Saccharomyces cerevisiae S288C: one gene and its partners. The gene in region 4 interacts genetically with the main gene of each other region. Each region holds a gene or a part of one and is shown on either strand. Other genes may lie near its edges.

Region 1 (6,697 bases), on a different chromosome or scaffold from region 4:
CATATGAATTTGTGGTGGTAATGTCGATGGAGCCTTTGATTTGTTCAATTCTCTCTTGAATAGCTTCCTTTGGACCACTACCGTTCAGGATAACGGTGTCTTCCTTAGTAACGGTAATAGAGTCACAAGAACCCAAGTTTTCTATGGTACATTGTTCTGGTTTCAAATCCAACTCCTCAGTAAAAACAGTACCGCCCGTCAAGACTGCAATATCACCAATTGTATTCTTTCTATTATCACCGAAACCAGGCGCCTTCACAGCACAAACCTTAACTTGACCCCTCAACTTGTTCAAAATACAAGCCGCAAGAGCTTCACCGTCAACATCTTCAGCAATGATCAACAAAGGTCTTCTGCTTTGATTGGAAATTTCCAAAGCTGGCAAGATATCTTGAATGGAAGAAATTTTCTTTTCACTCAACAATAGCAATGGCTTTTCAAATTCCACCTTGCTCGACTTTGGATCAGTGATGAAGTATGGAGAAATAAAACCACGATCAAACCTCATACCTTCAGTAACCTCAAGTTCATCTTCCAATGTTCTACCTTCTCTGATAGTGATGACACCTTCTTTTCCAACCTTTTCCATAGCTGAAGCTAGTAACTTACCAACATGAGAGTCCCCATTGGCAGAAATGGTTGCTACTTGAGCAATTTCCTCAGATGTGGTAATTTCTTTCTTGTTGGCGCTCAAAAATTCAATCACTTTTTCAACTGCAACTTGAGAACCCCTTCTCAAATCCATAGGGTTACAACCAGCGGCGACATTTTTGACGGATTCTGTGAAGATGGCTCTACCTAAGACAGTAGCAGAAGTAGTACCGTCACCAGCAGCCTCATTGGTTTTGGAGGCAACTTCTTGTAGTAACTTGGCACCCATATTTTCAAACTTGTCCTTCAACACAATAGATTTGGCAACTGTAACACCATCCTTAGTAATCTTTGGAGGACCGAAAGGCTGTTCGATTAAAACGTTTCTACCCTTTGGACCCAAAGTAGCAGCAACCGCTTCAGCTAAAGTTTCGACACCCTTAAGAAGGGAGGCTCTTCCTTCTACACCGAATTTCAATTCTTTATGAGAGGAGTAAGCACGACGCAATAAAGGCCTTAAAGTAGCGCGACTACGAACAACGGATGATCTCAACATTTTGAAAACTTTTTTGCTTATGATGTTTTCTCGTGGGAATTTTCTTATATTATTCAAGGAAGTGCATGAAGACGCAACCACGACCTTACATAATGAATGTAAAACTTAGTCTCCTTCAATATATATACATGAATGTCCGTCTGGATTCTGCTCCGGGCAAAACGAAGCAAAATTAAAGTCACCCTCCCCATTTGGTTTTCTGGAAAATTCCACGAGGTCCGTATATGATGACATATACAGATGGGCGGCTATAAAGTAAGTTTCCAGAGGTAATACCAGGCAATAAACAGCTTCAATTGCTCGTAACACCATTGTATACCTACAAAAACAGTGGAATAGGGATGAGACATAACTGGCTGGAATTTCAACTGTACTTCTTTGCACAACTAGTCTTGGCGTTCTACTTGATCATTGCGCGAATGGATGCACTCGCAATAATTCCCAATAGTATAACAGGAGGAACATTTGGATGCATTAGGTATATTATTCATCTTCTTTATCATCAAAATTTTCTCTTCCTTTATGTTACTATGTTGCTTTCTTTTAATCTATGTTTTTTTCCCTTTCAGTTGCCACCGCTTTTCTGCAAGATTCATAGTTAGATTTGCAAATCAAGGTGTTTTCGGGCCTTGTTAAAGCCTTCGCAGGCGAAGAAGAAAGGGAACGTAAGCTGCGTGAGCCGAATCTATTTATACAAAAACAATCAAAAAAGTATAACTACAGCATAAACTGTTGTATATACGTGTTGCAAAATAGGAAAGAAAAGAAGAGTAAAAGGACTCTTGATATTATCTCGAAAAAACCACAAATAGTGTAAGATTTAAACAGTAAGCCAAAAGAGATGACTTTGAAACCTTCAAAGAGACGTAAGGGCAGGTCTCGCCATTCCAGGAAGAAGCAAATAACGTCAGCGATACTGACTGAGGAAGGAATAATGATCAAGGCAAAACCATCAAGTCCTTACACATACGCAAATAGAATGGCAGATAAACGAAGTCGCAGCAGCATTGACAACATCAGTAGAACTAGCTTTCAAAGCAACATCAGTAGAACTAGCTTTCAAAGCAACAGTGATAACAACAGTATATTTGAAACGGCTTCACTAATTAGCTGTGTTACCTGTTTAAGCGATACTGATACAATAGACAGATCGGAAACATCGACAACGGATACAAGTAAAGATGATCTTTCTGCTAATCCAAAACTTCATTATCCTTCGGTGAATGGTCAATTGCCAGCAAACACCGTTATCCCCTATGGACGAATTCTGGATGCCAGATACATTGAAAAGGAACCTCTGCATTATTATGATGCCAATTCATCACCCAGTTCACCTTTAAGCAGCTCAATGAGTAACATTAGTGAAAAGTGTGATCTTGATGAATTAGAGTCTTCCCAAAAAAAAGAAAGGAAGGGCAACTCGCTATCGCGAGGAAGTAACAGTAGTAGTAGCCTCCTGACTTCCAGATCTCCTTTTACGAAACTAGTAGAGGTTATATTTGCTAGGCCAAGACGGCATGACGTTGTACCCAAAAGGGTTTCATTGTATATTGACTATAAACCCCATTCATCTTCTCACTTAAAAGAAGAAGATGACTTGGTTGAGGAGATTTTAAAGAGAAGCTACAAAAACACTAGAAGGAACAAATCCATATTTGTGATCATTAATCCGTTTGGTGGTAAAGGTAAGGCGAAAAAACTGTTTATGACAAAGGCAAAGCCGTTACTATTAGCAAGTCGGTGTTCCATAGAAGTGGTTTATACAAAATACCCTGGTCATGCTATAGAGATCGCGCGGGAAATGGATATTGACAAATATGACACTATTGCTTGCGCTTCGGGAGATGGCATTCCTCATGAGGTGATCAATGGGTTATACCAAAGGCCTGATCATGTCAAAGCATTCAACAATATCGCCATTACAGAAATTCCATGCGGATCAGGTAACGCAATGAGCGTATCCTGCCACTGGACAAACAATCCTTCGTACTCAACTTTATGCTTAATTAAATCGATAGAGACTAGAATTGATTTGATGTGTTGTTCGCAGCCTTCTTATGCAAGAGAGCACCCAAAGTTATCATTTTTAAGTCAAACATATGGTCTCATTGCAGAAACTGACATAAACACTGAATTTATTAGATGGATGGGACCTGCAAGGTTTGAATTGGGTGTAGCCTTCAATATCATACAAAAAAAAAAATATCCTTGTGAGATATATGTAAAGTATGCTGCCAAATCAAAAAACGAGTTAAAAAATCATTACCTGGAACACAAAAATAAAGGGTCGTTAGAATTCCAGCATATTACTATGAACAAAGATAACGAGGATTGTGATAATTACAATTACGAAAATGAATACGAAACCGAAAACGAAGATGAAGATGAAGATGCGGATGCGGATGACGAAGACTCCCACTTGATATCTCGTGATCTGGCAGATTCTAGTGCTGATCAAATTAAAGAGGAAGATTTCAAAATAAAATATCCATTAGATGAAGGTATCCCTAGTGACTGGGAAAGATTGGATCCTAATATTTCGAACAACCTAGGTATCTTCTATACGGGTAAAATGCCATATGTGGCTGCTGACACTAAATTCTTTCCGGCAGCGCTTCCTTCAGATGGTACAATGGATATGGTTATCACCGATGCAAGAACCTCGTTGACGAGGATGGCACCAATCCTGCTGGGACTAGATAAGGGTTCCCATGTTTTACAACCGGAAGTCTTACACTCTAAAATTTTGGCATACAAGATAATACCAAAGCTAGGGAACGGCTTGTTCTCTGTCGATGGCGAGAAATTTCCTCTAGAGCCCCTTCAAGTCGAAATTATGCCACGCTTATGCAAGACGTTACTGAGAAATGGCCGTTATGTGGACACAGATTTCGATTCTATGTGACACTTTACTTAATCTTTTCCTTCGTACTGAACAATTAATCAAAAACTAGAATATGTCATTTCTATTTCTTCTATATTTTTTTTACGTTGTTGTTGTTTTTGTTGTTGTTTGATAACTTTATACACTCCATACTTCTTTATAAAAAGTTTTAATACCATTCTTTAATACAACCATGTTTAGTGAGTACTAGCTCCTACACATCAGATCGTCAAGTACATTATGATTATGATTATTATTAATATTATCAGTACAATTATTATGTGCTGGTAGTTCACTAAAAAATATGACGCACACAAAGAGTTCTCCTTATGCCCTATAGAACTGAAATATTAGGTGCTAACACTGACAAGCGCTTTGTTCCTGCTCCTCTGCTGTAGAAATATCAATGACTCCCGGTTTATTTTGGTTTGCACTATTTGCATTTTCGCTATCCAAAGGAGTTGACTCGCTGTTTTGAAATTCAGGCAGCGATTTGGCAATCTTTTTGAATAAAGCTTTGACATTATAGCCTGCCTTTGTGGACGTTTCCATAAAGATTTTAGCACCCAATAGTTTTGCTTTTTTCTCTCCCTCTTCGGTTGAGATTTGCCTTTCATCTGATAAATCACTTTTGTTACCAACAATGCACAATATAACATTTTCGTCACCTCTTTCATTTTTAACGTCTTCTATCCATTTATCAATATATTCAAATGATTTTCTCTTCGTAATGTCGTAAACGATAATAGCAACTCTCGAATCTCTGATATATGAAGGTATTAATGATCTAAATCTTTCCTGACCTGCTGTATCCCATAACTGTAATCTAATTGTCTTATCATCCAAATACATGGTCTTGGAAAGAAAATCTATACCAATCGTGGCTTGGTAATGATCATCGAACGTATCATACATAAATCTAGTGATCAGCGATGTTTTTCCAACACCCTGTTCTCCCAAAAAAACAATTTTGTACTTTGTCAATGATTTCCCGGATCTGCTCATTGTTAATCTCTTCTTTGTTTATCTTTTACTGTTCAGAATCAACAGCTTCAAACACTTCTTTTCACACAACCTTAAGTGCCCAATTGTGATATTCTTACATCATACATAGTAACAATCTATATATGGGCAATATTTTCCTCCACTAATTGAGCTGTGCTGAAGGCTTTATTACCCGGAAATTATTCGGCCATTTTTCACTAGAAGTTAATACCAGCACTAACGAATAGAAGCACCCTATTCTACTCAAGATGCCCGGTTCATGAATAGGGAGAAGTATTTTTCTTATTTTCCTTAGCCATCTATAAATATTTATCCTTATGCCTGTCACCACAATAGAAAAGGGTCCATTATATATCAGTTGTTTTCGTACCTCTAGAGAGACACGCAAGGGGCTTTATTTAGGAAACCTCCAAATTTGCTAGATGTAACCATTATACATAGTAATTACGATTGTAAAACATCGGAAAGAACGATATATCTTGCAAATAGCTTTTCTTTGGTAATATATGTATTTACTTAAAAAACGAGAACTAGAAAATACTGAGTAAATTTTTATTAGACGTTGTTAAAGGCCTTTTATTTCTTACCAGATTTTTTGATACCACCACCCACTAAAGGTTTACCACTTTTCATATTAGCCATCAAAGCTTTCTTAGCAGCAGCATCGGCCTTTTGCTTCTCTTTGAAGGCAATGTCTTCAGGATCTAAGTCCTGTTGTTGCTTCTTCTTTTGCTTTAGAGGCTTCATCTTACCACCTTGGCGACTAGACATGATTGCTTAGGGTTTTTCAGTTATTCTTCTGGTTTTGCAACTTACTGTGCGTGGAAGAGCAATCAATTACAGGATTTTAAACATGAAATTTTTTATTTTCCTCGTTCATTTTCGTCGCGGGAAACTTCCAGAAGTATAGATTTACTACAATTTTTATCTCAGGACAGAAAGAATAAACCAAAAAAGCCAAGACAAGCCAAGCCAAGCCGAGGCGACTGGAGGAGCTTTTCATCACATTCAATGACAAATCACAACAGGTTTCCCTGTTAGAAAAGGCATGTGCACTCACAATTCATATTTTCATACAGAAGATATACATTGGATTTCTGGAGATATCAGGTAAGGTTCGACAAAAACAATGGCGTTTGCCAACCCTTTATGATGGGTGATCTTGTATCCGCTTAATTGTGTGATCTAAAAAGGCAAAGTAACGTATTATTGGCTGGTTTATATAATTTGAATATGACTACTTTTTCAACGTTAAAAACGATAAATACTTGCTCAAAGGGTTCAGCGGCTAAATAAACTACGATTTCGCAGCAGGATCAGATGGATTCAATCACATCATTCGCAAAACATTCACATCATTCGTGAAGCATTAAAGGTAATAAGAAAAATAGAACAAAGATTTTTTAATCAGTGAGGACCACAAAGGGACAGCAAATACGGTGATAAGAATGGAAGGTTTGAAGAAAAAGATTTTTGGTGTTTGCCTGAAAAATGACTTAGCACAGACTAGGAATGAAACGAAAGGAATCCACTATGGGTTAATGACTTTGGAAACTTCTAAACAACTGCAGGAATTTCTCCATTTGCTAGTAATAAAGAGAGAAGTAATTCAAAATTTTGAGTTGTTATTTCACATCATAAATGTTGCCGTTAAAATCACC
Region 2 (7,955 bases), on a different chromosome or scaffold from region 4:
TCTTCATTGATAAAGGAATCAAACATGAAATTCTATAATCTATTCAAATTTGACGAAAATGAGCCCCTTTTCGCTATTGGGTCAATATTGACAATCTTTGCACATAATTTGAAACCTATAGATAGCGGTGACAACAATCTTCATAAAATTCTTTTCCAGATATTTGACATGACAATATCGATGCAATCTATGCGTTTACCTTTGATCATATACAAGAACCTGCTATTGCAAAATGCGTCTGAAATTTCGAAGCAAATAGAAGCTAATTCTGATTTCTTCGAGAACGATTTTGACCTGCGCCATGGTGCTATACAAACAGTTTTACAGAAAAAACTGTATGATGAGGCGCTTTGGGAAGAAGTCTTGCAAATAACTAGAAAAGATGCGACTACTGCCAGCAAGAAGGCTTTGAAACGGGTGAGTCTTAATAAATATAGTGCATTACTCAATACAGCATGTGGAAAGCCAGGATGCTTCGATATGAGCACCATTATCTTCTATTTGAGCGAACAAACAAAGATGAACGAGCATTACAAGGAAGAAAAGTATCATGGTGTCGCCGCCAGATCCAAGACAAGGGCGTTGGTCCAAAGACTTGGCCATTTTTTACCCTCCAAATATAACAGGTGGAGCAAAATTTCTTTACTTATCGGGATTGTAGCTATCCTGTACCAATTACGGACTACAAGGTCGTTGAGTTTAGTACTCAATCTACGTTACATGATCTCCACAAAGTTGAAAGACTTATCACATATAAATATAAATTTGCACCACGTTAGTCACATCTGGGTGGATCCGATTAGGGACATTTTGAAACTGGGGCATCCAACTAGATAGCATACAATATACCTTATATACCCATGACATAGAAACAAACTCATATGTAAGGTATTATTATAAAGTGCTTCTTTAAAATTCGCTGCGGAAATTTCTTCGAGGATGACTCAAATAAGAAAAAACGAAAATTCTGAAAGAGAGATTTTTAGTATGGAGAAAACCAGTACTCCTGCATAAGATATCAAGATATTAGATAACTCTCAAGATGGTTTCCCAATTTGCTATTGAGGTGCGTAACCTAACGTACAAATTCAAAGAAAGCTCCGATCCGTCAGTTGTTGATATCAATCTTCAAATCCCATGGAATACAAGATCTTTAGTTGTGGGTGCCAATGGTGCTGGTAAATCCACCCTTTTGAAATTACTAAGCGGTAAGCATCTTTGCCTTGATGGAAAAATCCTGGTCAATGGTCTTGATCCATTCAGTCCATTATCTATGAATCAAGTGGACGATGATGAAAGTGTTGAAGATTCGACGAACTACCAAACGACCACTTATCTAGGTACGGAATGGTGCCATATGAGTATCATTAATAGGGATATCGGCGTCTTGGAACTATTAAAAAGTATTGGATTCGATCATTTTAGGGAAAGAGGTGAAAGATTGGTTAGAATCCTGGACATCGATGTACGTTGGAGAATGCACAGGTTAAGTGATGGACAAAAGAGAAGAGTTCAGTTAGCCATGGGGCTCTTGAAACCTTGGAGAGTTTTACTACTTGATGAGGTCACTGTGGATCTCGATGTTATTGCCAGAGCAAGACTTCTGGAGTTTTTAAAGTGGGAGACCGAAACCAGAAGATGCTCAGTGGTCTACGCTACACATATTTTTGACGGCTTGGCCAAATGGCCTAACCAAGTATACCATATGAAATCAGGTAAGATTGTGGATAATTTAGATTATCAGAAAGACGTAGAGTTCTCTGAAGTGGTCAATGCTAAAGTTAATGGACAAGTGGCCTTTGAAAATGACAACAATAAGGTTGTTATTAGTAAAGTGAATAGTTTGCATCCATTAGCACTAGAATGGTTGAAACGTGATAATCAAATTCCTGACAAAGAGATTGGTATATAACTGAGTATATATAACTGCAAAGACCCCCTGTATAGAAAATATGTATCTTAGTGGAAAATGTGATTTGACTATTTAAGTTATAGAAGTAGTTTGTGATCCTAAAAAAAGGAAAACGACAGAAGTCTCATAGAAGCAAAGAGGCCAGATGAAGAAGAGAGGCAACAAAATTCACGCCCATCTTAATGAAACTGGATAGTATAGACATTACACACTGTCAGTTGGTCAAATCTACTAGAACTGCTAGGATTTATAGGTCGGATACATATGCCATTAAATGTCTAGCACTAGATTTCGATATCCCGCCACATAACGCCAAATTCGAAGTATCGATATTAAACAAACTGGGCAACAAATGTAAGCACATCTTACCTCTTCTAGAGTCTAAGGCTACCGATAATAATGACCTATTGTTGTTGTTTCCCTTTGAAGAGATGAACCTTTATGAGTTCATGCAAATGCACTATAAAAGAGATAGAAGAAAAAAAAATCCCTATTACGATTTGCTAAATCCCAGTATCCCAATTGTTGCGGACCCCCCCGTTCAGAAATATACTAATCAATTGGACGTCAATCGGTATTCTTTGTCCTTTTTCCGGCAAATGGTTGAAGGGATTGCATTCTTACATGAGAACAAGATCATTCACCGCGACATCAAACCGCAAAATATCATGCTAACAAACAATACCAGCACCGTATCCCCAAAGTTGTACATAATTGATTTTGGCATCTCTTATGACATGGCAAATAACTCACAAACAAGTGCGGAACCCATGGATAGCAAGGTGACGGATATAAGCACAGGAATTTACAAGGCCCCAGAAGTGCTTTTTGGAGTAAAATGCTATGATGGTGGCGTGGACGTGTGGTCGTTGTTGATAATTATTTCTCAGTGGTTCCAGAGAGAAACAAGCCGTATGGGGCACGTTCCGGCCATGATTGATGACGGCAGCGACGACATGAACTCAGATGGAAGCGATTTCAGACTGATTTGCTCAATATTCGAAAAGTTGGGCATACCGTCCATTCAGAAATGGGAAGAGGTTGCGCAACACGGCTCGGTTGATGCATTTGTTGGTATGTTTGGTGCAGATGGCGATGGCAAGTATGTACTGGACCAGGAGAAAGATGTACAGATTAGCATTGTTGAGAGGAATATGCCTCGACTGGACGAGATTGCGGATGTCAAAGTCAAGCAGAAGTTCATTAATTGTATCCTGGGGATGGTTTCATTTTCACCAAACGAAAGATGGAGCTGTCAAAGAATCTTGCAAGAATTAGAAAAGCCATAATAAGAAGAATATATAGGTACATATATATATATATATATATATATGAAATGAAAAGTACGAGGGTAATCACTTTTTCCTCTGAAGAGCTAGTTTTATTAAGTCGAAGCAGTTCTTCATGTACGGTAAATTCTTGTTGCAAGCGGTCACACCCATATGTCCAATACGGATATACTTGGGTCCGATGTCCTTGTGAATACCTCCGGCAATGACTACACCGTGTGACTTTAAAAAAGCAATGACATCAGGAGGATCTGCTACGTATACGGCTGTCAACCCGTGCGCAGACATGTTAGAAGGATACCTACTGACGGATGTCAATTGCAAGCCATTAACCAAACTGTCTTTAAACCAATCACTCATTTCACGGTGCAAATCCCATCTCTTATGCAACCCCTCTTCGAGAATTTCTTTCAAGGCTACATCAAGGCTATTAATTAGTTGTACGGGTGGGGTTGCAAAATAAGCTCCTTTACCAGCCTCATAATTTTCCATTATTGGTGTCCATCTTCTCAACGAGGAAAAATACCCATGTACATGACCATTTTTGCTGTCGTTGAGTGCATAATCCATGAATCTGCTACTGCATAGCGAGATAGAAAGACCCGCTGGAGCGCCAATAGCCTTTTGCGAAGCAGTCAAGGCGAAATCCACCCCCCATTCATCAAATTCAAACTCTTCGCATCCAATCGAGCATACAGCATCGACTACGAAGAACGTTTCCGGCGAAGTCTGCTTAATCGCTTGCGAAATGGCTTTCAGATCGGACAGCACTGCCGTTGAAGTGTCAACGTGCGTAACCGTGACAGCCCCATAGCTATTTTGCGACAACTTTTCAGTAATCAGTTCTAAGGGAACTGATTCGCCTATCTTGAGGGGCCTAACAACATCTACTTGCGCACCGTAGCTACGCAGACAGTCAGCAAACCTGTCAGAAAATGTCCCAGTGGATACGACCAGCACGTTCTTGTTGGGGGCCTTCGAAAGAATAAAGTTCGAGGCAAATATGTCCCACCCCAACGTACCAGAGCCGGCAAGCACAAAAGGCTGAGACTTCGAGGCAGCAGCGGATTTGAAGACAGCTCTTGTGTTCTTTAGCACCCTTTGAAAAATAGAGACGAACTCAGGAGAGGTGTGGCCCAAAGAGGGAACGTCCAGGGCCTTCTGGACTGCTCCGCTTAGGATAATGGGGCCTGGGATCAGCAGCGTATCTACAGATTTAGTCATCGTTGGTGTATTTAGGCTATGGAAAAAGAATTATATGAGCTTTCGTCTTCAACCAGTGCGATTATATAAAGACTGCGGAACAGAACATTCTTGGCCACTCCTCGAGGAGGACTACAGAGAGCCGTGAGAGTGAGAGTGATATGATGACTAAGGTCCTTTCGAAGGTATTTGATATAGTTATCACTCATTGGCCCGGAGTTAGGGGGAGATGTTCGCTTGCGGGAGCACGGGAGAAGGAACAGAGCGGCGTTAGCATCAAGTCTAAGGTTGAAAAGCTGCCCAACCTAAGGGCATACATCAAGAATTCTTTATAGTTTTATATAAAAAAATATATATATAGATAAATAGACAGATAGATATGACACAAACAGATAGAAAAAAAGCAGAGCGTGGCTCTTTGAGGTGGAACCCCAGCCAGTCTTGCTCCTTGCAGCCAAAAAAGGGTCTTGTTCAAGAGCTATGTTCAGTGTCGCTGCCCAGTCGCCACAAATAATTGTAGGAGGGCGCGCCAACCTCACGTTTGCATTCTTGAAAAGCCTCTTCTTCTTCGGTTGAAGTAGCACACACTAACCGGAGACAGAACAGTAGAAACCACTAAGCGAAAAAGAAATATATGAAAAGAAAAAACCCACCAACAGCGATAATAACGAGAAAAAAAAAATTATACCCTCTTGCGATTGTCTTCATGAAGTGATGAAGAAATCATTCAATTCAAATGAATTCAAACCTGACTGCGCTTCGGACAGTACAAGCAAGCCGTCCATTTCTTAGTAATAAGAAAAGAATGGCTCTATTTGTTCAGGAAAAACTAGCATAAAAGAAAAAAAGAAAGCTTCCAATAACCCTGCATTCTGCTTTTGAAGGTACTTTAACCGGCTCCTCCCCCATCAGAGAACCACGACTAAAAAAAAAAAAAAAGAAAAAAAGCAGAAAGCAAAAGCTGGGGCTAGTGTTCTTGTTCACTGTAGTTTCCTGGTCATCGTAATCACGGCTGGATTACGCCAATTGTCAAGATCAATTGAATTGTCAAAGGGTAGACTGTTTCCCGCTATATCGTCGCAGAGTGGGTCTGCCAACGGCGAGGCCACCGCATCAAACAAATTGTTGTTGTCTACGGCAGGTAGCGTCGTCGACTCTGGTACATTTTCCGTCTTAAACATCTGCAGCTCCCATGAAGTCTCTTGGTCCGACGCGGAATCGCGCATACTCTTGGGCGACAAAGTCGCAGGCTCCATTGTACAGTTCAGAGGTGAAGGTGTGAACGTATCAGACGACGAGTGCGAACTGGCCCTGGTGTCCAGTGAAGCGCCCCTCGTGCTCTGGAAATCCCTGTACTCGTCAAGAGAAGCAACAAAAGCGTCGTGGCTGCAAGTCAACGCGTCTTCGTGGTCAGCCAGTTTTTCAAGGTTGACGCTGTTCAGTAAATTTTCCAAAAGAGAACATTTTCTCTCGAGATACTGCAGATGTAGTCTTTTTTTCTCTCTGCTCTGGTGAGCAGCTCTTCTGTTTCTCAAAATACGCTCGATCCTTCGCTGTTCCTTTTCCTCTTTTGTCTTGGCTCTTTTCCTTGGAGGCAGAGTCGACTTGAAGTTGGTAGGGATAGCCAAGTTCGATTGCGAATTACTAGTTAGTTCAAAATCAGTCATTTCCATAGTGGCGGTTGTTGTCGTAGGTGGGGGAGGAGGAGGTTGTTATGTTTGACACTGAGTTAAAGCCTTGGAAGTTTAAATAAAACAAGAAGACAAGAAGAAAGGAAAATTTCGCTAAAAAACATATTTCTGTATTCATTTCTCGAGTTGTCCATTGAGGTGAAATTTCTTCTAATATATAGTGAATGTAGGGAGCGAGAACAAAAGAGAACAAGGTGTTCAAAACCACGTTCATCACTCGGTACGATGTATATTTGCGACTCTTTTTAGCCCTACTTAATGCTGAGCCACTTTGCCTTACAACCCTCATAAATGTATTTTTATCCTAGCTTCTTTTTCCATATTGCCCTAGGTCTTGTTTATTCATGTCACGTGACTATATTTCCAGGTTTTTCTTTTTTTCCTCGTCCCTTTTGTGGGAAAAGAAAGCGTCCTTACTAAAAATGAGGGAGCTTTAACTTTAATATACAGCTTTTGGCAGCTTGGTGTTGTTTTTCATTGTAAAAATAAGTTGTTGTTCGTATCACAGCATTTTCAACTTCTGCATTGTCTGCCGTTTTTTGTATAGATATAGACGTATATATATATACAGAATTCTCTATCCTCTTAACCACTCCTGGAAGGCCTGCTGTAGAGGTTCTGGTGGGTGCTTTTACTGAATTCCTAACTCATCAAGCATTTTCCCTTTTTTTTTTTCCCTTTCCTTTCTCTTGCCTCATTTGATAGAATAGATAAGCCCAGTAGAGGAAGACAGATGTTCAATAGAAGTAACACCGCAGGCGGATCTCAGGCTATGAAAGAGGGACTTGGCATAAACAAGCTCTCCCCGATATCATCGAATTCGAACCCAAGCTCATTGACTTCCTCCAATTATGAAAAATATCTGCAGCTGGCCACAGAGAAGAATCCGTGTATGATCTTGGAGCTGGAACTGGACGGCAAGGTGCGATATGGCTCTCCACAGTGGAACACGATCACAGGAGTCGCCGATGATAGTGGCTCTTCTCCGACGTACATTGCAGACCTTATTCTCGGATCCGATCAAGATAAAGGTGTCTTTCAAAAGGCCACAGACATGCTGCTCATGAATGATGACACCAGTTGCACTATAACGTTCAAGATAAAGGCAGCCGACTATGAAGGTAGCGCAGGCTGTGACGATGAAAGTACGATAACGACCTTGGAAGCACGTGGTATCTTAATCAGGGATGGCCACACACAGTTGCCCTCTCACACGATGTGGATAGTCAAGCCTCGCACAAACGACTGGTCAGACTTTTATGCCAACGAAGACGCTCAAGACGACATGGTCATCCAGTTATCCGATAATTGCGACGATATCGATATCCAACTTCCCGAAGAGTTCGCCAAGACGCTTGGGTTCGGCGCTAAGATCTTCGTGCAGTACTTGAAGAGAATACGACTGGAAATGATAATAGACGAGTTCAATCTACCTCTGCCAAAAATGGAACTATGCCGGGTCTGTGAGAACTTTGTCCCTGTTTGGTGGTTGGAGACCCATTCGCAAAGTTGCGTTTGCGAGCATAGAACGGAATCGCTCATACAATTACTACACGATAATCTTCTTGAGCAACAGGCGATCTTGGCAAACTTCACGAAAGATTCAGAGTATAAGGGCAGTCAGATACAGGTACGTTCCAACAACTTCCTTAACCAAGTTTTAGACTCCTTAAGAGAGCTGTGTCAGGACGCCATAGATATCAACCCGAGTGAAATGGTTCCTGATCTTTACCACAGTCTTTCAACATTTCCTCAAGATAATGGTAATAATAACAATAATAATAATAATAATAATAATAATAACAATGCTTTGTTAGATCAATTCCCTATCCAAAAAGATACAGTTAGCTTGAATTCATA
Region 3 (10,153 bases), on a different chromosome or scaffold from region 4:
AAAGCAATCCAGTGCTAAATACCAATTGTGAGGCCATCGGCTTAGTTTGGAACAGCAGTGTAGATACCGTCCTTGGATAGAGCGCTGGAGATAGCTGGTCTCAATCTGGTGGAGTACCATGGGACACCAGTGATGACTCTAGTGACTTGATCAGCGGGAATACCAGTCAACATAGTGGTGAAATCACCGTAGTTGAAAACAGCTTCAGCAATTTCAACTGGGTAAGTTTCAGTTGGATGAGCAGCTTGGAACATATAGTATTCAGCCAAATGAGCTCTGATATCTGAGACGTAGACACCTAATTCGACCAGGTTAACTCTTTCGTCAGAGGGAGATAAAGTAGTGGTGGCTGGGGCAGCAGCGACACCAGCAGCAATAGCAGCGACACCAGCAACAATTGAAGTTAGTTTGACCATTTTTTTCGATTGAACTTTTGTAGATCTTTTTAGTGAAGATGTGAGCTCACTCGAATGTAAATAACAATGCCAAATTGTCGGAAAGAGTTAATCAAAGCTGCTCTATTTATATGCCGTTTTTTAATAAGCGACGGACGAACAGATAAATTGTTGAATAGCTATTTCACTGCTGATATTTCTCTTACTTGGGCTCCCCTATCCCATACTCTTCACCACTACAAATATGCAGTTGCCCTTTCTTCAACAATGCTTTTTTTATAGATCTCGTATACGGATCCGCGCCTTTGTACTACCTATATCTTATTATGATATATACAGGAGCACAGGAATGTTCGGTACAGGGATGATACCTTTAAAGGAAGTTTTGGCATGCCTTGACAACTTCAATTAATCTTTGGCCAAGAAAATGAACCAGAAATCAAATTTTATTCTGTGCCCTCTGAACGAGGGCAATATCCAATGTTTGACACTAAACGGTTGTCAGGAGAAAAATTGAATGTTTCCCAAATCAGAAACATTAAAATCCCTCTATATGATCAGAGGAGTCGTACCTGTTAGGGTATGAGCGAGGAAACGTGATTGAGAGTTATAAACTGACCATACGAAGAGTTACGGCCATTGATTGGGTTCATGACACCCAGGGAAGTTTCTTTTGGATTAAAATCACAAGTCTTGCAATTGCTGTATGTATTGCATGAGTGAAGTAGTTGGCATCTAATGGATACCCACTTAGGGAGTTTATGGATGAATCTTGTCTTCATAGGGTAGCTCGAGAGTGTTTTTTAATCTAGTGATATCCACTTAGCTAAGCGCGGCTGGAGATACAATATTTACAAAGGCAATTTCAAAAGTAGGAGCGTTTTCAAAGGCCTGCTCCATTCTCCGTTGAGGTAGTAGAAGCAAATATAAACGGTTAATCTTGCTGTTTTCCTTGTTTTGTCTGTTGGTTTTCACTTGCTGAAGCCTGTGGTTCAACAGTACTCGGAGAATCGGCCTTATCTAGTCTCCTTCTGACCTGTAATGCGTAAAATTACGACAAACGTATTTCGTGAAACAATTGATAGGAAAATTGTCATTTGCTTGTTAAGGCAGTGCATTGAGGCTCTTTAAAGGTACTTTAGAAGTTTATGTTACTATCCTTCTAGCCTGATAGAACAATAAGTAAAGAATTGACATTCAGAAATCAGCCATCATTTCGTTTAGTAGTAGCAATCGCAAGTAGTGACTGTAAGAGATAGAAATGTGTACTTCAGTCTGGAACTGGGGCGCTTGTGAAGGATGTGTGCCGATCTCAGGCTGTTGATGAAGGTCTCTTCAAATACTATATTATTATCTTTTAGTAGGTCCCAGGAAGTGCCTTATTCTCAACATGTTCAGCGTTTATCTTTCTCAGCCTGAATGTATTTCAAACGATGACTAGAAGAGATTAGTACCCCTTATATAATCCTCGAAAATGTTGCTATCTCAGTGAATTGAAAGTTCATGCTGACGTCTTTATCAGCGTTATCCATTGCCTTGTTCTTTTCAGTGCAGTGGCAGATGTTACGAGGGTCAAATAATTTTTGAATATATATAGAAATGGCTACTTACTATAATTAAAAATAAATATGAAAAATAAAACTTCAGTACCCCACATCATTCTCATTTTTTTCTGTTTGTTTGATTTTTAGGAATTTGGCTCCATCATGAACATTCGTTAGCGTATGATATCACTTTTTCATTATCTCCTATTGTTACTTTACTTTTCATATAGATATCCTTCATCCCGTGTAGGTCTACTACGCAAAAATGAATTCTAGTAATTAATAATAATGATATAAAAAAGGCTAAGTGCACATTACTAAAAACGAAACTAAGATCCTTAGTCTGAGTTGATATCACCTGCGAAAATACCTTTTTCTCTTTGATCATCCCATTTTTCGATCCAGTCTAGGGGACATAAGGCGTTATAGGTCTTCCAAAAGACCTTGCACGGAGCAAAATCTTCGCCCTTCATATTAACACACTTGTGATAATCCACATAAGATTGCCAACAATGCTTTGTTTGGTTTTGTTGGGGAAATCTAGCATCGAAACCAACTGTATGTAGTGGAGAGTTTTCTTGATCAGCCATGTCTATTATACTGTATTTATGTGCTTGTTCCTATTTGTGAAAGCAAAGATACTTTATGTATTCTTACTAAAATATTTGTATATCTCTGCTAATCATTTTAATGCAACTTTTCTATCTGGTGCATCTTTCATCACCTTTTAAAGATCCTGAAGGGATGGGGATATCGGGCAAAACTACGCGCGACGCATTTCTGAAAATTGATTGGTCAATGTTATGAAGCTATATGGTAAAGAATACATGGTGTCATATAGATTTATTTGAATCTCTCGAGTGCTTTTTGAACCAATTGTGTGTTGTTTTCTCTGTCTAATTCCTTGAGTAAGCGTATTAATTGGAAACACATGTCCCACGAATCGGTAGCTTTAATTGGGTCTGTGGCGTTTGCAGCACTTGTCACCAAAAGCTCTAAGACTTTAAGCATTAATTCTTCATCCTTCAATAAATTAGTGACAGATTTCTCTGACTTTTTTGTAGAGTTATCATTTAGAGCTTTGCTTTCCTCAGTCCCTAAATCTGATTTCTTAAAATGTAGATCATCTCCCAAATCTTTCTCATCGTAATTTAAAAACACTAACAGAAGTACGCCAAGCATTTTAGCCTCATTTTCTTCGATACAGAGTGCTAATAAATCTCTTGGTGTCATCTTTAGATTAGTGAATAGATGGTTCCAGTATTTAGTTTCGATCTTCCTTAAACAATTACTAATAATTTCTAACATACCACTGTGGGTTGGTGGTGAAATATTATGCTCAGGATCGGTGTTGTCATACATCTTAATTAATTTCAGGATATCATCCAAAGAGTCGCTTCGCAGTATTTTAGTAGACAAAATCTTTTCGAGTGCAAATTTGTAAGGCTTTAAAAAACGATAATTGTGTGAAATATCCTCCAAATCTGTGTTGTCTTCTAATTTGGCTAAGATTAATTGGTCGAGGTATATTTGGTGTTTCACCACCAATTTGGAAAATCGCGCGTTAAAAATGCAGTGAAGTGTATGTGTTGTAGCTGTTTCTGGGGTGGTTGATATTGGATACAAATCTTCTTCGATTGGAATGGAAACTAGTGGCTTTTTATCATCCCATAAATCTTCCAAAGAGTATACGACGTAATTATGGCCTTGAACTACAAATATTTCGTCCCTGATAACATCGATTATTTTTTCTATGTTATCCAACAAAGTTAAGGTTTGCCAGCCCCCTCCATCCACTTTGCCAAGCTTTATAAATTTCCTATCGGCAAAAAATAACAAGCCCTCCTTCATGTTAATTATCCACTCAATTTTGTTGGGTAAAACATCAATTGGAATGTTAATTTTGAGATACTGGTAGAATTTTTTGATGATGTTTAATCCACATGGATGTACAGTAGAAATTACATCGAAGACAATTGTCTGTGTATCAGTAACTAAAATAATCTCGGCAGTTTTAAGCAATGCATCAGGTTGTTTTTCAGAAGCATTGTGATTCTTGGATTTCATTTTCAACAACTTATACCGGGATAAAGTATTAACATGTAAACTGAAAACAATCGTATTCTCTGGAACATTGTATTCCCACATGACATAATCTGATAGTTCCACGTCCGGATTCGCTTCTTGCAGTGGAATCTGCAGACATTTCAGATTTGTTGAGCCATCATCATTCTTCATATGACAAACCAAATAATTATCACCTAGCCAATGTAAATCCAACACGTTTTGGTCAGCAAAACTAGACCACATATTGGTCTCTAGATTGTGGATAAGCAGTATGTTTTTGTTCGACACATAAGTAGCAAATAACCTCAAGGAAGAATTAATTTTTACAAAAGCAATATGATTATTGAAAGTCTTTGTAGGAAGTTTTATGACTTGTAAATTATCATTATTGATTGAAGAACTTGTCACAGGTGAATATATGATTACATCATTGTTCGTATTGGTTAATACGTAACATTTTGGGTTTCTGAAATCAAATTGTGTTTGTTTTATTTCTTCCCATAATTTCCAAACTTGATATTTTCCGGAATGAGACACTGTTATTAGTGATTTATCCAAGCATACAAAATCAGAAATTTTATATTCAGCCGCCTTTTTCTCATTTTTATCCTTGCTGTTGTCATTATTGTTATCACCATTATAATCATCTTCGTCAAAATATGTAGCGAATAGCAGATTCCCAAATTCTGTGTAAAAATGAATGTTAACACTATCCTCAGAAACCAAAAGTAATATTTTATCATTAATTTTATCGCAAAGTTTTATCACAAATGGTGGTTTCCAAGAATGGCTTACTTTTTTAATTCTTGTATCAAAGCAGATTATTTTTTCTTTGTAAACGACCACCAGGTATCCATTAACTTCTAGGCAAGTCAAAAGTTCATCTGGTGTGTCCGTTAACGGTATTGCTTCAACAGCTTGCTTTTCAATGTCTATAATGCTTACAATAGTCTGCTTTTCGACGGAATCATGAGATAAAACCATTAATTGTTTATTACACACAATTGTCTTGGATCCCTTCTTCACTTCAACCAACGAGCTCTTGCTAACTTTAAAATCCGATATTGTAAGTATTTGTAATCCATGAGGGAATAAAACTATCAAAACTTCTTCATAACGCCCATCCCCGACTTTGGAAAATGTCTTGATGCCAATCATGTCTATGATTTCATAGTCAAATTTAAGAACTACTTTTAAACGAAGTTCTAGTTTTTTCACGGGGAGTTCATCAATGTTTTCTTGATTAGAAAGAAAGTGTAAAAACCCTTTTTCCTTAGTTATGCCAAATCCATTCTGTATAATTCTTGAAGAACTATTTTTATCAAATACCGTGAGAGTATCATCATCGTTGTTATAGTCATATTCAGCACTGTTCGCTTCTTCTTCACTCATTAAAAGAGGCTCTATGACGGGTATGCCGTATTCTTTGAAAATTATTTCATTTGTGCAGTTTTTTAAAATTTGGTATGTTAAAAGGAAGTTTTTATCAGTCATTACGTAAAATATCAGCTTTCCCTGGTGCCACAATAAGTATTGCGAGTCCTTTTTTGAAATAAGCCCTTCGATGATATCATTATATGGAGCTGATCGTTTCATTGATCTGTTATCGCCAAATTCCTTAAGAGAAGCCATTGTTCGTTCATGGCTAGCTACTAGTGCCATTGGTTTGAAGTTGTAAATGAGCACTCTTGTTGGGGTTAGCATGATAAGAACATTGGCCTGGGGTAGTGTCATTGATTGAAGAATATTGCAATCATCTATTTTAGTACCCTCACCTAATTCGGCGTTGCGGGGTGGAATTCTAAGCAATTGGGGCGGACTGACTGGCCATAAGTGCATTTTCCACGTGTTCAGTTTCTTACAGCTTCCGGTCAATAACACTCTTACCTTACCTTTTTTTTTGTAGAGGCATTTAGGTGTATTTTTTTCAGACTGTTTGATGAACATCAAAGGCGTCGGTATTGCCGAATTAACATCAAAGAACAAAAGCCTGCCATAAAACGACAGAAAAGACAAGATTTTGGCCAAGATGGCAACGCCATTCAGAAGTTATAATAATATGTTAAAAATAAATCGTTTGATACTGTACAAAGTTGATGTTCATCGTTGTCACTAAAAACGCTCTTAAAATCGAATTGTCCATTGAAAAAGTACATACTTATATACATATTTGTATAAATAATACACATATTATAAAAAAAGCGAAAAGGGATGGCGGACCTCCCATGGAATTAAATTGTCAAATTTGGTTGAGGCACTTAAAGGGCAACTGCAAAGATTCCGAACAACGCCATGGGGAAATATAAGCTTTTGGCATGGGCACCATTCTGTGATTGACTAGTTCTGGATGTTGAAGAAGAGTTTGATGCGGATATAAGTGCTGTTGTACTGTTTTCTTCATTAGCCATGGAAATCATGGACTGGCCTGCGTTCGCTGTCGAGAAAGGAACAGAATTGGAAACGGAGTTTTTTTGGCTGGCATAAGATGAGTTAGTCATGGTAGCTTCTGTCTCACCTGTTATGAAGTGTTGGGGAAGGTATATGGTGGTGGCGGAGGCTTTGTTTAGCAAAGAGGTATACCATGGAAAGGCCGTAATGAATGTTTGGAATTGAGTGAACGGAAAACTCTGAGCAATATCAGATTGTAAATCTGCTGTTGAGGCCAAATCAACCATGTGATAGTAGTAGTCAGCAACAGGTTGAGGTAGGGTTAAATGGTTTTGCATCATGTATGAGGTATACTGTGGAAAAGCGGTGTCGAAATCGTTTAAAAACTCCATGAAGAATGCCATGTCTGCATCTGCAGCTGCGGACCTGGCAAGTGTATCGTCATTGGAACTAGACGTTAAAGTTTTGGCAGCAAAACTGTGGCTGATTAGAAAGCTTACCAGGAGAATATTTTTAATGAGGGAGAAAGAAGGAGCAAATATCATTGATACGCAATATTTTCAGGAATGTTGTAAATGGTTCGTAACTGGATATCGAAATCACTTGATTAGAAACAATACGCCGGAATATGATCAGGTAAAGCAGAATAACAAAGAATAAACTTTCTCGATTGAGAGTGTCTTTTTAAATCATCCAAGCTCTTGAATTTTCTAGCATAGCCTTGGATGACAGCAATAAAAAATTTGCCAGGATTTTTCCCTATTTGGGCGTTCAATGAAGATAACGTTTGAAATATTAAAAACTAAAAAAAGAAAAAGGTTTGAAGCAATTAATAATTTATTAAGTTTTTTTTTATTTATCATACTTAAGAATATGGAGACCACGGGTTTTCTTACACCTGCGAAGACCTTGAACCTAATATATTTGTTTAAGAAAACAAATAAGCGATTGTTTCTAACATTAAAACGAAGTAAAGACATGGCTTGACTGAACCTACACCTCCTGTGCTTGTACTTGAACTTATAGTATTAGTTGTTTGAGAGCTTTTTGTTTCATTTCTCGACGAAGAAGGCAATGGCGTGAACTGGGTGACTACCGTAGAATTTGAGGATTGGTAATTTATAGATGTTATGACGCTGGAAGTGACTTTTGGTATAGACGACGATGATGAAGAACCGGTGAAATTAGCAGCAGCTAATGAACCAGTAATAATGCTGGAAGAGGTGGTGCTTGGAAGATGAAGTAGTTGATCGTTAGAATTTCCAGTGTCAAGAAAGGTGTATTGCACTTTCTGTCCAAGGGCAGTATTCAAATCCTGAGCATTTGAATCTGTGAGAAGTTGCGCTTGAACAATGAACAGTTGTAGTAGCACAATTGGGGCGAAAGCTAAAGAGCCAAATTGACTGATCTTCATATTTTTTTTGATTTGTTGACGAGCTATAGGATGATGAAACGGAGGGATATCAAAGTACGTTCTTCAAGCTTACAATTTCTCAAGGTGCTTTACTGGTCAAGATATTCAATATATAGCTAAATATTTATACAAAATGTTTGTTGACGGTTTGTTTATAGTGTTTTCAAAACACCACGAAAAGACTTCATTCTTGCATTCTTTTTTCTACAAGATGAGTCTATACATCTGAAACTGCGACGCCATTTTTTCCGCTGTTCGGGGCATTCTTGGCCAAATCCTCGAAAGAAATAAAACGTCAAAAGTAAAAAAGGTGGGCTAGACGAAACGTTATTATACGTCATAATTGTAGCCGTGTATGAGTGGGTGGAACTTGTATAAATAAACAAGTTCTTACTTATCATATTCTCGCATGCAATGAAATTCTCCAGATTATGACGCTTAGGTCTGGCCAGACGGCTAATGAGGTCCAGAGGAAATAGAAGGATTGTAAGCGGCCTCCACTAAATTTTGACCCCTCATACATGCTTGTTCAAACACAAAAGATTGAGGTTGAAAACTTGGCAAGAATTGGGCTAGGAGAAAGTGGCCAGGTGCTTCTTGTTCAGAACCAAGCAGATATGCTAGCACAATGTGCACCGTTCTATTTTTTTCTATAGTGTGTTTACATTTCTTGGCACATTGCGTTCGGTTTCAAATTTGTATAATTATTATTGGAGCGAGACAGGCGTTTCTGTACCGCTGTTATTTTTAACATCCACTGCGTTTTATGTATCTCTAAAATTGTGCGTTGCCTTTCTTTTGTTTATATTTTTGTTCAAAAAATGAGTTAATAATGATTTTTCATCTTCGGCTTACCGGTCTTGAAAATATTTGTTAAGACAACAGTGGATAAAATAAAACTAAACAACTCAAGCAAAAGTATTCCACTTCTTAAACAAAGCCCAACTGAAAGGTTGCGAAATACTATGTCATTTTGATTTAATCATCTAATGCTCGAGAAAATTTCAGAGCCGTAATACTTAAGTAATCGGAAGAAAAGTATCTCATTCTTCATTTTTCTCCAAATATATACCTCTTGTGTGAAAAATTAATTGTTTCCTCCACCTCCTTTGTGTGGTGGGCAATTGTGTGCTTCCGAGTAAATAACAAAACATAAGGATAATATATAATTCTGTTTTTTTGTCTAAAAAAGGTAAACTATATATAACAAACACAGTATAGAAACACAATATATCGGTCATTGGGTGAGTTTAAGCATTAGCAGCAATGGCTTGCTTAATAGCCGCTGGGTTGGCACCAACAACCTTTGCAACTTCCTTACCGTTCTTGAATAGAAGCAAAGTTGGCATAGCGGAAACTTCATTCTTTTGTGCAACATCACCCAATTCATCGACATCCAATTTATAGAAATCAGCTTGTGGGTATTGTTCAGAGAATTTTTCAATCATTGGAGCAATCATTTTACATGGACCGCACCAAGTGGCGTAGAAATCTACGACAACTAGCTTGTCTTGAGCAATTGCAGAGTCGAATTCGCTGGCAGTTTTGAATTGAGTAACCATTATTTGTATCGAGGTGTCTAGTCTTCTATTACACTAATGCAGTTTCAGGGTTTTGGAAACCACACTGTTTAAACAGTGTTCCTTAATCAAGGATACCTCTTTTTTTTTCCTTGGTTCCACTAATTCATCGGTTTTTTTTTTGGAAGACATCTTTTCCAACGAAAAGAATATACATATCGTTTAAGAGAAATTCTCCAAATTTGTAAAGAAGCGGACCCAGACTTAAGCCTAACCAGGCCAATTCAACAGACTGTCGGCAACTTCTTGTCTGGTCTTTCCATGGTAAGTGACAGTGCAGTAATAATATGAACCAATTTATTTTTCGTTACATAAAAATGCTTATAAAACTTTAACTAATAATTAGAGATTAAATCGCTTATTGCTTAGCGTTGGTAGCAGCAGTCAACTTAGCTTGTTCAACCAAGTTTTGTGGAGCATCGAAGACTGGCAACATGATTTCAATCATTCTGATCTTAGAGTTGTCGTTGAAAGACTTGTCTTGGGTCAACTTGTCCCATTCACCGGTGGTAGCGACTCTGTGGGTTTCATAGTCCTTAGCACCGAAAGTTGGCAACAAGGATAGGTGGTCCCAACCTTGAATTTCGTTGTATTGAGCCTTTGGACCGTGAATCAACTTTTCAATGGTGTAACCATCGTTGTTCAAGACGAACAAGTATGGCTTCAAGCCCCATCTGATCATGGTGGAGATTTCTTGAACAGTCAATTGCAAAGAACCGTCACCAATGAATAAGATAACTCTCTTCTTTGGATCAATTTCTTCAG
Region 4 (7,582 bases):
AAAAACACAATGAGTATATACTGATAGACAACCACACGGTCTTTGAAACGAGACGCCGTCTACGGTTGTATCAAAATGTGTAAACGGGCCATTTCAAAGCTTGATCTTCTCCATAATTAGAACCCATGTCCCGTGGAAGCGTTTTAAAAGACATGAGGCAGAAACAGGAGTGTGATATCCTTGCATGCGCAAGTTGGTAATACACTGCACAAAACACGCGTGTGCACATACACTTATGTGGTTCACCGTGCCGCTGCTGTGTTTATCTGTTGCTCGACATGTGCTGCTAATGATTATGTTGGAATAGACAAACAATTTAAAGTAATTTCTTCTTTTTTTATAGTGAGAAATCTCAAAAGAAAAAAAAAAAAATAAAAAAAACTAAAGAGCTGCCGGGTGAGCAACGACTAAAAGAAGAAACCATTTAGGGCTTCATCAGCAACTGTAGGAGGAGAAAGCAGGTATATAACTAGCCGCAATATGTTTGTGGTGGATTGGAGCGTGCAGCTATGCATGGGAGTGATTTCACCTCTCTTCCGTGCCCTCGTGCAACTGCCTTTATCAATTTTCGTATGGAATGGGTTTCAGCTTGTGGCATTGCCTATCAACATCCCATTGAGGTTGTTCCTGGGGACGTCGCTGAGCCGTTTAGTTGCACAAACAAGCACATTAGACTTCTATGTGGTTTTGACGTTGTTTCAATATTTTGCTGTGCTTTGTGCTTTTGGCAGCATCATAGGACTCATCTTTGGATTTATATTGGGTGTGTTCCACTCAATCTGCGGGGTACCCAGTGTATACATAAGTCTAGAATGGAAACGGTGGTTTGCTCCGATACGTACGGTCCTTGAACGTGCTTCCACTAGTATTGTCAACATTATGCGAGGACAAACTATTGCGCCAATACCCATGCCTAAGCCCAATCCCACGCATATATCAAAGCCTAACATGAAAAAATTCCATGATGAGCCTGGAGCTGATGATATGACTATAACGCATGATGTGAACTGCTACATCACCCCTTGCCAAACGCCTACTAACGAAAAAATTCAGCATTATAATAATGATTCATTCAACACGACCACCACAGACGATGAACCCACTGATATTTGGGATAGGTCTGACACTTACCAAAACTCATTCGTCACCAATGAAACTTTGATGTCTCTTTCTAATAGAGCTAAGCTTCGAAGAAATGCCAGTGATGCGGACATCGTTAATATAAAGATTTTACGAAGGAATTCTAGGTGATATTGCAATTACTTCTTCTCATGCACTAACAAGTGAATGATAGAAATATGTTGAGTTCCTAACTGCCTGATTTTAAATAAGTTTCATATTATAATCTTTTAGCATATATATATATATATTGATCCTCTCTCTTCTTTATTTTCTGCCAGTAACCCATGTGTGAAGAAGAAAACATAAATAAAAAAGCAGTAGCACATGGACACATTCACGCCCGAACACTCCTAAAAAGCAGCCCACACAAGAAAGTAGATATAATGTAGGACACCCAGCTTGTCCATAATTGCTAATAGCATACTCAGGATAACATATATTAATGACGACTCGTTTGCTCCAACTCACTCGTCCTCATTACAGATTATTATCCCTACCTCTCCAGAAACCCTTCAATATAAAAAGGCAGATGTCCGCTGCGAACCCTTCTCCATTTGGCAATTATTTGAACACGATCACTAAGTCCCTACAACAGAATTTACAAACATGCTTTCATTTCCAAGCAAAAGAAATCGATATAATCGAATCTCCATCTCAGTTTTACGATCTCTTGAAGACAAAAATACTTAATTCACAAAATAGAATATTCATTGCGTCTCTGTATTTAGGCAAAAGCGAGACTGAGTTGGTGGACTGCATATCCCAGGCATTGACCAAGAACCCCAAGTTGAAAGTTTCTTTTCTACTTGATGGCCTTCGAGGAACAAGAGAATTGCCTTCCGCCTGTTCCGCCACTTTATTATCGTCTTTAGTAGCCAAATATGGGTCAGAGAGAGTGGATTGCCGATTGTACAAGACGCCTGCTTATCATGGTTGGAAAAAAGTCTTGGTTCCCAAGAGATTTAATGAAGGTTTAGGCTTACAACATATGAAAATATATGGGTTTGATAACGAGGTCATTCTTTCGGGAGCCAACCTTTCGAACGACTATTTCACCAACAGACAAGATAGATACTATCTCTTTAAATCTCGAAACTTCTCCAACTATTATTTTAAATTACATCAACTCATAAGTTCCTTCAGTTATCAGATTATAAAGCCAATGGTGGATGGTAGCATCAACATCATTTGGCCAGATTCGAATCCTACTGTTGAACCGACGAAAAATAAAAGGCTGTTTTTAAGGGAAGCATCTCAATTACTAGATGGCTTTTTAAAGAGTTCTAAACAAAGCCTCCCGATTACTGCCGTGGGTCAATTCTCCACATTAGTTTACCCAATTTCTCAATTCACTCCACTTTTTCCCAAATATAATGACAAATCGACCGAAAAAAGAACAATATTGTCATTGCTTTCCACTATAACAAGCAATGCCATTTCTTGGACGTTCACTGCAGGATACTTCAATATTTTGCCAGACATCAAAGCAAAACTGCTGGCAACGCCGGTTGCTGAGGCAAATGTAATAACAGCTTCCCCCTTTGCAAACGGCTTTTACCAATCAAAGGGCGTCTCATCAAATTTACCTGGTGCTTACTTGTACCTGTCAAAAAAATTTCTACAAGATGTATGTAGGTACAGACAAGATCATGCTATTACATTAAGAGAATGGCAAAGAGGCGTAGTAAATAAGCCGAATGGTTGGTCATATCACGCAAAAGGTATTTGGCTTTCCGCTCGTGATAAAAATGATGCTAACAATTGGAAACCCTTTATCACGGTTATAGGATCTTCAAACTATACGAGAAGGGCGTATTCATTAGATTTGGAATCGAATGCTCTCATTATTACAAGAGATGAAGAGCTAAGAAAAAAAATGAAAGCAGAGTTAGATAATTTATTACAATATACAAAACCTGTAACTCTAGAAGACTTTCAATCAGACCCAGAAAGACATGTTGGCACTGGTGTAAAGATAGCTACCTCCATTTTGGGTAAAAAACTTTAGATTCTATTCTATCATAGTATGTCGCCTGTAAATATGGAAAAATAAAAGAAAAAATAGTAATAATAAATGCATTATCTAAAACTCCTTAAATTTGCAAACATCGCAAAGCCATTAAGGTAGAGAATGAGCTGACCTTGTTATAGTTTTCCTTTTGGCAACCGTGGTTTCCGTCCTACGTAAACATACTGAACTTGACAAAGTATGACCAATAAGGTGACAAATTGTATCAATTTTACCCAAAAGGGCGTTGAATTAAATGGTATCTCGTAAAACAATGCATTGGTCGGTATTACCAGTCTACCTAATAAATCGATAGATTCAGCCAAAAATGATATCAATGCAAACTTTGATGATAAACCTACTGTTGAGCATCCCATCCAGTTTATACTCATTTGAGGCACATACTTGAAACATTTAAGCAGATTTGCCATTACCCACAAATAATTTATGTGTTCCAAATAGAAAACGCCAAATTTACCTGAATTTTTCAACGGTAAATTAGAGATGGAACAGCCATATGTAAATATGCCTAATACAAGGAACACACTTATAATTATTATGGAAGTAATGGAAATGCCCTGATAAATATGTTTAGTTGACCTATAATAGTATAACTGCCTTAAAACCATCATGCAGCAACAGGAAACGCAAAAATCTTTTAGAATGAGGAAACTGGATATAGGTATACTACGGGCATCATTCAACGGATAAAAAAGTGGGAATCTTTGAGACAGTTGTTCCCTCACCAGAGATGAATAACAATAATGCAACGCGCAATACAAGTACAGACCATTACCAACAAAATCTAGCAGAAATAAATCATATGAAAGCCCGTAAATAGATCGATGAAGTTTATTATAGCGCTTTTGACATAGAATGGCGATGATCTATGTAAGAAATGGAAGTTTTCTCCCTTAGTTAGTCAAACCTTTCATGTATACTTTCTCCTTCAATTATGCATACTGATAAAAAACCTGCCAAGCCCTGCAGAACAATAACAAGCATGTGAATGATTCAATATAATTGCTTCGCAGGGCTCCTCAACCTCTCCTCTGGAAAACCTTACCTCAATGAGGTTAAAAATTGTGGGTTTTTCGTTCGCAGAGGAAAAAAAAACTTGTCAAAACACGCCTCTGCAGTAGAACACGAATTATACATAAGAAAAATAACGATACAAGAAAGGCGATTTCGATTTGGGACTAAGTGTTACACGAAAGGCATAGAGTATCAAAAAAAGGAAGCAAGATGGATTACGATAGCTCTGATACAATGAACGGTGGTTCAAGTAACCCCTTAATCACTAAGATGAATACAATGAAATTATTATATCAACACTATTTGGATAAAGTCACTCCTCACGCTAAGGAGAGGTGGGCTGTATTGGGTGGTTTGTTATGTTTGTTTATGGTTCGTATTACAATGGCCGAAGGCTGGTATGTGATTTGTTATGGTCTAGGTCTATTTTTATTGAATCAATTTTTAGCCTTTTTGACCCCAAAATTCGATATGTCCTTACAGCAAGATGAAGAAAACAACGAATTGGAAGCTGGAGAAAAATCAGAAGAATTCCGTCCATTCATCAGAAGATTACCAGAGTTCAAATTCTGGTATAACAGCATTAGAGCCACTGTCATTTCCCTCTTGTTGTCGCTATTTTCAATCTTCGATATTCCAGTATTTTGGCCCATCTTATTGATGTATTTCATATTATTGTTTTTTTTAACTATGAGAAGGCAGATTCAACATATGATAAAATATAGATATATACCCTTAGATATCGGTAAGAAGAAATATTCTCATTCTTCTAACTGATATACCCTGACTCCACATACCTATTCAACGAACACATTCGTATCTTAATTATATGTAAACAAAATTATATGATAGTTACAGAATAATTGTGATTATTTTCTCCTTCTACTCATCTTCTCTTATATTGGAAGAATACATGAAGTTATTGATTAAGCAAAATTGAAGGGAAGAGGCTCATTTTCTTCCATTTATAAATGGAGAGCTTGAGATGCCTCCAATTGATAAATTTTTGTAAAGACTTTCAAGAAACATGTCTAAAAAGAATTGACAGCTTCGAACCTTTCTGCATAATTACTAATACCAAATTAGTGAGAAATGGGGTATGTCGAGGAATAAAGGATGCAAAAGAGAGAGTAATGTCATGCAAGTTGTGAGTTTGAAATGTTCACACGTTTATAATGTCCATACTCCGTGGCGTGCATGTGTTTTAGTGTATTAGTTTTCCAAGTTATTAAAGAACTTAGTAAATTTATCATCGAACGCATTTTGATTAAGTGGCACAATAGACTTCAATGGAAAATGAAAATCATATCTGTAGCAAAAACGACAGCGAAGATAACGGTTACACAATTATCACGTTGATTCGTCAACTTAAAGATGACCTTTTTACAATTTATCAATAATAATAGACAAGAAGGACAAGGTTATATTTCAGAAAAATTATTCAAAACTAAGAAGAATGAGATGATAAGAAAAACAGTTACCAATTTAGTAGCTGTAAGATTAAAAAACTTATCCCACGAATTTGATGTAATAGAGAATTATCTGCGCTATATAGCTAGCACCAGTGAACATCTATTTACTGCTATTAAGCGCCACTTTAACAAATGTGCCAGAAAACTTTTGAAAGAAGCAATCGACTCCAAATCAAACTCAGAAACTGCTACGGTGGTTCTGCAAGAAGGATTTTCTGGCATTTGCTTATTGAAAGCGTCTTCAATTATATTAAAACTAAAATTGAAGTTTCCAAAAAAGAAAGATAGAACTGATATTAGCAAATTGTGTGACAAGAAAGAACGGATGACACAGTGGTTAGAAATTTCAATTTTGATGAACTGAGAATAATAATATTATGCTCCCCTGGATTTTATGCGAAGACACTGCTGAAAAAATTTCTGATATATGCAGAGAAGGAGCAAATAAGCCAGTTTTAAGGAACCGAGATAAGCTGTTTTCGCCCATTGTTCTAGTTCTACAAAATATCTACAGGGAATCGATGAGGTTGTAAGAAATCCTGAATACTCTATGATAGTGCATAACACTAAAAAGTTGAAAGAATCCCGTATCATGGACGATTTCCTTGAACATTTGAGCAAAGACGATAACAAAGCATGGTATGGCGCGGAAGAAACCGAGAGAGCTGCAAAATTAGATGCAATAGAAACACTACTTATTACAGATAGTGTACTAAAAAGGAACGACGTGAAAAAACGTGAAAAATACCTAGACCTAATAGAGAATAGTGGAAACAACAATGGCAAAATATTCGTACTCAGTACTTCAAAAATCACAGTGAGCAACTTGACAAACCAACAGATATAGGCTGTGTCTTAAAATATACCATCCAATACCTTGATGAACTTTTCAAAGATGACTAAAATAAGTGAAATTTCAACATTAACTTCGAATTTTTTTCTTTTTATCTAACACTTGTCAAACAGAATATAAGGATTACTTGTCTTCTTTGCTACATATTGCTACCACTTCTATTACACAATAGTTTCAATAGCTTGCAGCGTAGCTAAACTCTAAAATTTATCTAAATCACTCATATAAACCGAACCCTTCCCCTTCCGCTTATAGTACAGTACCTATACATTTCATAAACATGGCATGGCGATCAGCGCCAAACAATATGGAAAATCCACAGAAAGCTATTCATTGAAAAAATAGTACAAATAAGTCACATGATGATATTTGATTTTATTATATTTTTAAAAAAAGTAAAAAATAAAAAGTAGTTTATTTTTAAAAAATAAAATTTAAAATATTAGTGTATTTGATTTCCGAAAGTTAAAAAAGAAATAGTAAGAAATATATATTTCATTGAATGGATATATGAAACGTTTACTGGTGGAAGTTTTGCTCATATATTATTATTCAATAGAAGTAATAAAGAAAAAGTTGGTAAAGCAACTTAACAGTAAAAAGGTAATGATTGAAAAAGTTTTTGAACATCTAAGCTATATGTTGATGGGTTTACAATTTTACCATTAGTACTCATGCCTATACTTTTCTGTTCGTCCTTAATGTCCGCGATTTAGAGCAATCATTGAAAGTACTAGATACATTTTAGCCAGAGAGGACTCGTTGACGTAGAATTAAAATTCAAATGAATTTCCGCCCCATTCATATACCCCAAATAACAAACATATTAAAACTTCATAATTATTCAAAATGTGGAGTAGTATAGAAGAGCAGTACCTTCAAAATTGATTTCTTCAGTTTCCCACCCGGGATCCACTTGTCATGCGGTGAGAATCGTATATTGCGTATAATCCGTGTTTCATCACCCACATTATAGTACAAACCTACTGGTGTAACCATTATCATATTCATGACTTGTAGTTAAAAATCTTTCACGATAAATTGAGGAAAAAATCACGTTAAATAGTTTCATATCATTCTTTAGTTAAAGTC

Evidence for each region.
Region 1: mutations in RER1 (region 4) and YPT6 together harm fitness more than expected from each alone (negative genetic interaction), as found in Saccharomyces cerevisiae (5 studies listed by BioGRID, with this or other methods).
Region 2: mutations in RER1 (region 4) and HAC1 together harm fitness more than expected from each alone (negative genetic interaction), as found in Saccharomyces cerevisiae (5 studies listed by BioGRID, with this or other methods).
Region 3: mutations in RER1 (region 4) and RIC1 together harm fitness more than expected from each alone (negative genetic interaction), as found in Saccharomyces cerevisiae (5 studies listed by BioGRID, with this or other methods).

Annotation. Positions count from the first base shown.
Region 1 is NC_001144.5:663,856-670,552, forward strand, and holds YPT6 (Rab family GTPase YPT6), read right to left. Parts: upstream 5,037-6,697; coding exon 4,389-5,036; downstream 1-4,388. Other genes in the region: chaperone ATPase HSP60, read right to left, coding at 1-1,147; sphinganine kinase LCB5, read left to right, coding at 1,989-4,052; VPS63 (Vps63p), read right to left, coding at 4,382-4,708; TMA7 (Tma7p), read right to left, coding at 5,613-5,807; RED1 (Red1p), read left to right, coding at 6,485-6,697. UniProt on the Saccharomyces cerevisiae protein: Protein transport. Might participate in post-Golgi transport.
Region 2 is NC_001138.5:73,301-81,255, reverse strand, and holds HAC1 (transcription factor HAC1), read right to left. Parts: upstream 6,078-7,955; coding exon 5,417-6,077; intron 5,165-5,416; coding exon 5,109-5,164; downstream 1-5,108. Other genes in the region: GTPase-activating protein GYP8, read left to right, coding at 1-837; putative ATP-binding cassette family ATPase CAF16, read left to right, coding at 1,043-1,912; cyclin-dependent protein kinase-activating kinase CAK1, read left to right, coding at 2,095-3,201; AGX1 (alanine--glyoxylate transaminase), read right to left, coding at 3,268-4,425; protein kinase RIM15, read left to right, coding at 6,829-7,955. UniProt on the Saccharomyces cerevisiae protein: Transcriptional activator involved in the unfolded protein response (UPR) pathway. Recognizes and binds to the UPR element (UPRE) in the promoter of UPR-regulated genes such as KAR2, PDI1, EUG1 and FKB2.
Region 3 is NC_001144.5:222,644-232,796, forward strand, and holds RIC1 (Ric1p), read right to left. Parts: upstream 5,954-10,153; coding exon 2,783-5,953; downstream 1-2,782. Other genes in the region: seripauperin PAU23, read right to left, coding at 42-416; COX12 (cytochrome c oxidase subunit VIb), read right to left, coding at 2,278-2,529; AFB1 (Afb1p), read right to left, coding at 6,265-6,939; NFG1 (Nfg1p), read right to left, coding at 7,323-7,808; thioredoxin TRX1, read right to left, coding at 9,059-9,370; PDC1 (indolepyruvate decarboxylase 1), read right to left, coding at 9,747-10,153.
Region 4 is NC_001135.5:107,541-115,122, forward strand, and holds RER1 (protein retrieval receptor), read left to right. Parts: upstream 1-4,375; coding exon 4,376-4,942; downstream 4,943-7,582. Other genes in the region: LDB16 (Ldb16p), read left to right, coding at 481-1,251; PGS1 (CDP-diacylglycerol--glycerol-3-phosphate 3-phosphatidyltransferase), read left to right, coding at 1,565-3,130; YCL002C (uncharacterized protein), read right to left, coding at 3,268-4,017, 4,094-4,135; YCL001W-A (uncharacterized protein), read left to right, coding at 5,540-6,001; YCL001W-B (uncharacterized protein), read left to right, coding at 6,230-6,484. UniProt on the Saccharomyces cerevisiae protein: Involved in the retrieval of endoplasmic reticulum membrane proteins from the early Golgi compartment. Required for correct localization of SEC12, SEC71 and SEC63 in the endoplasmic reticulum.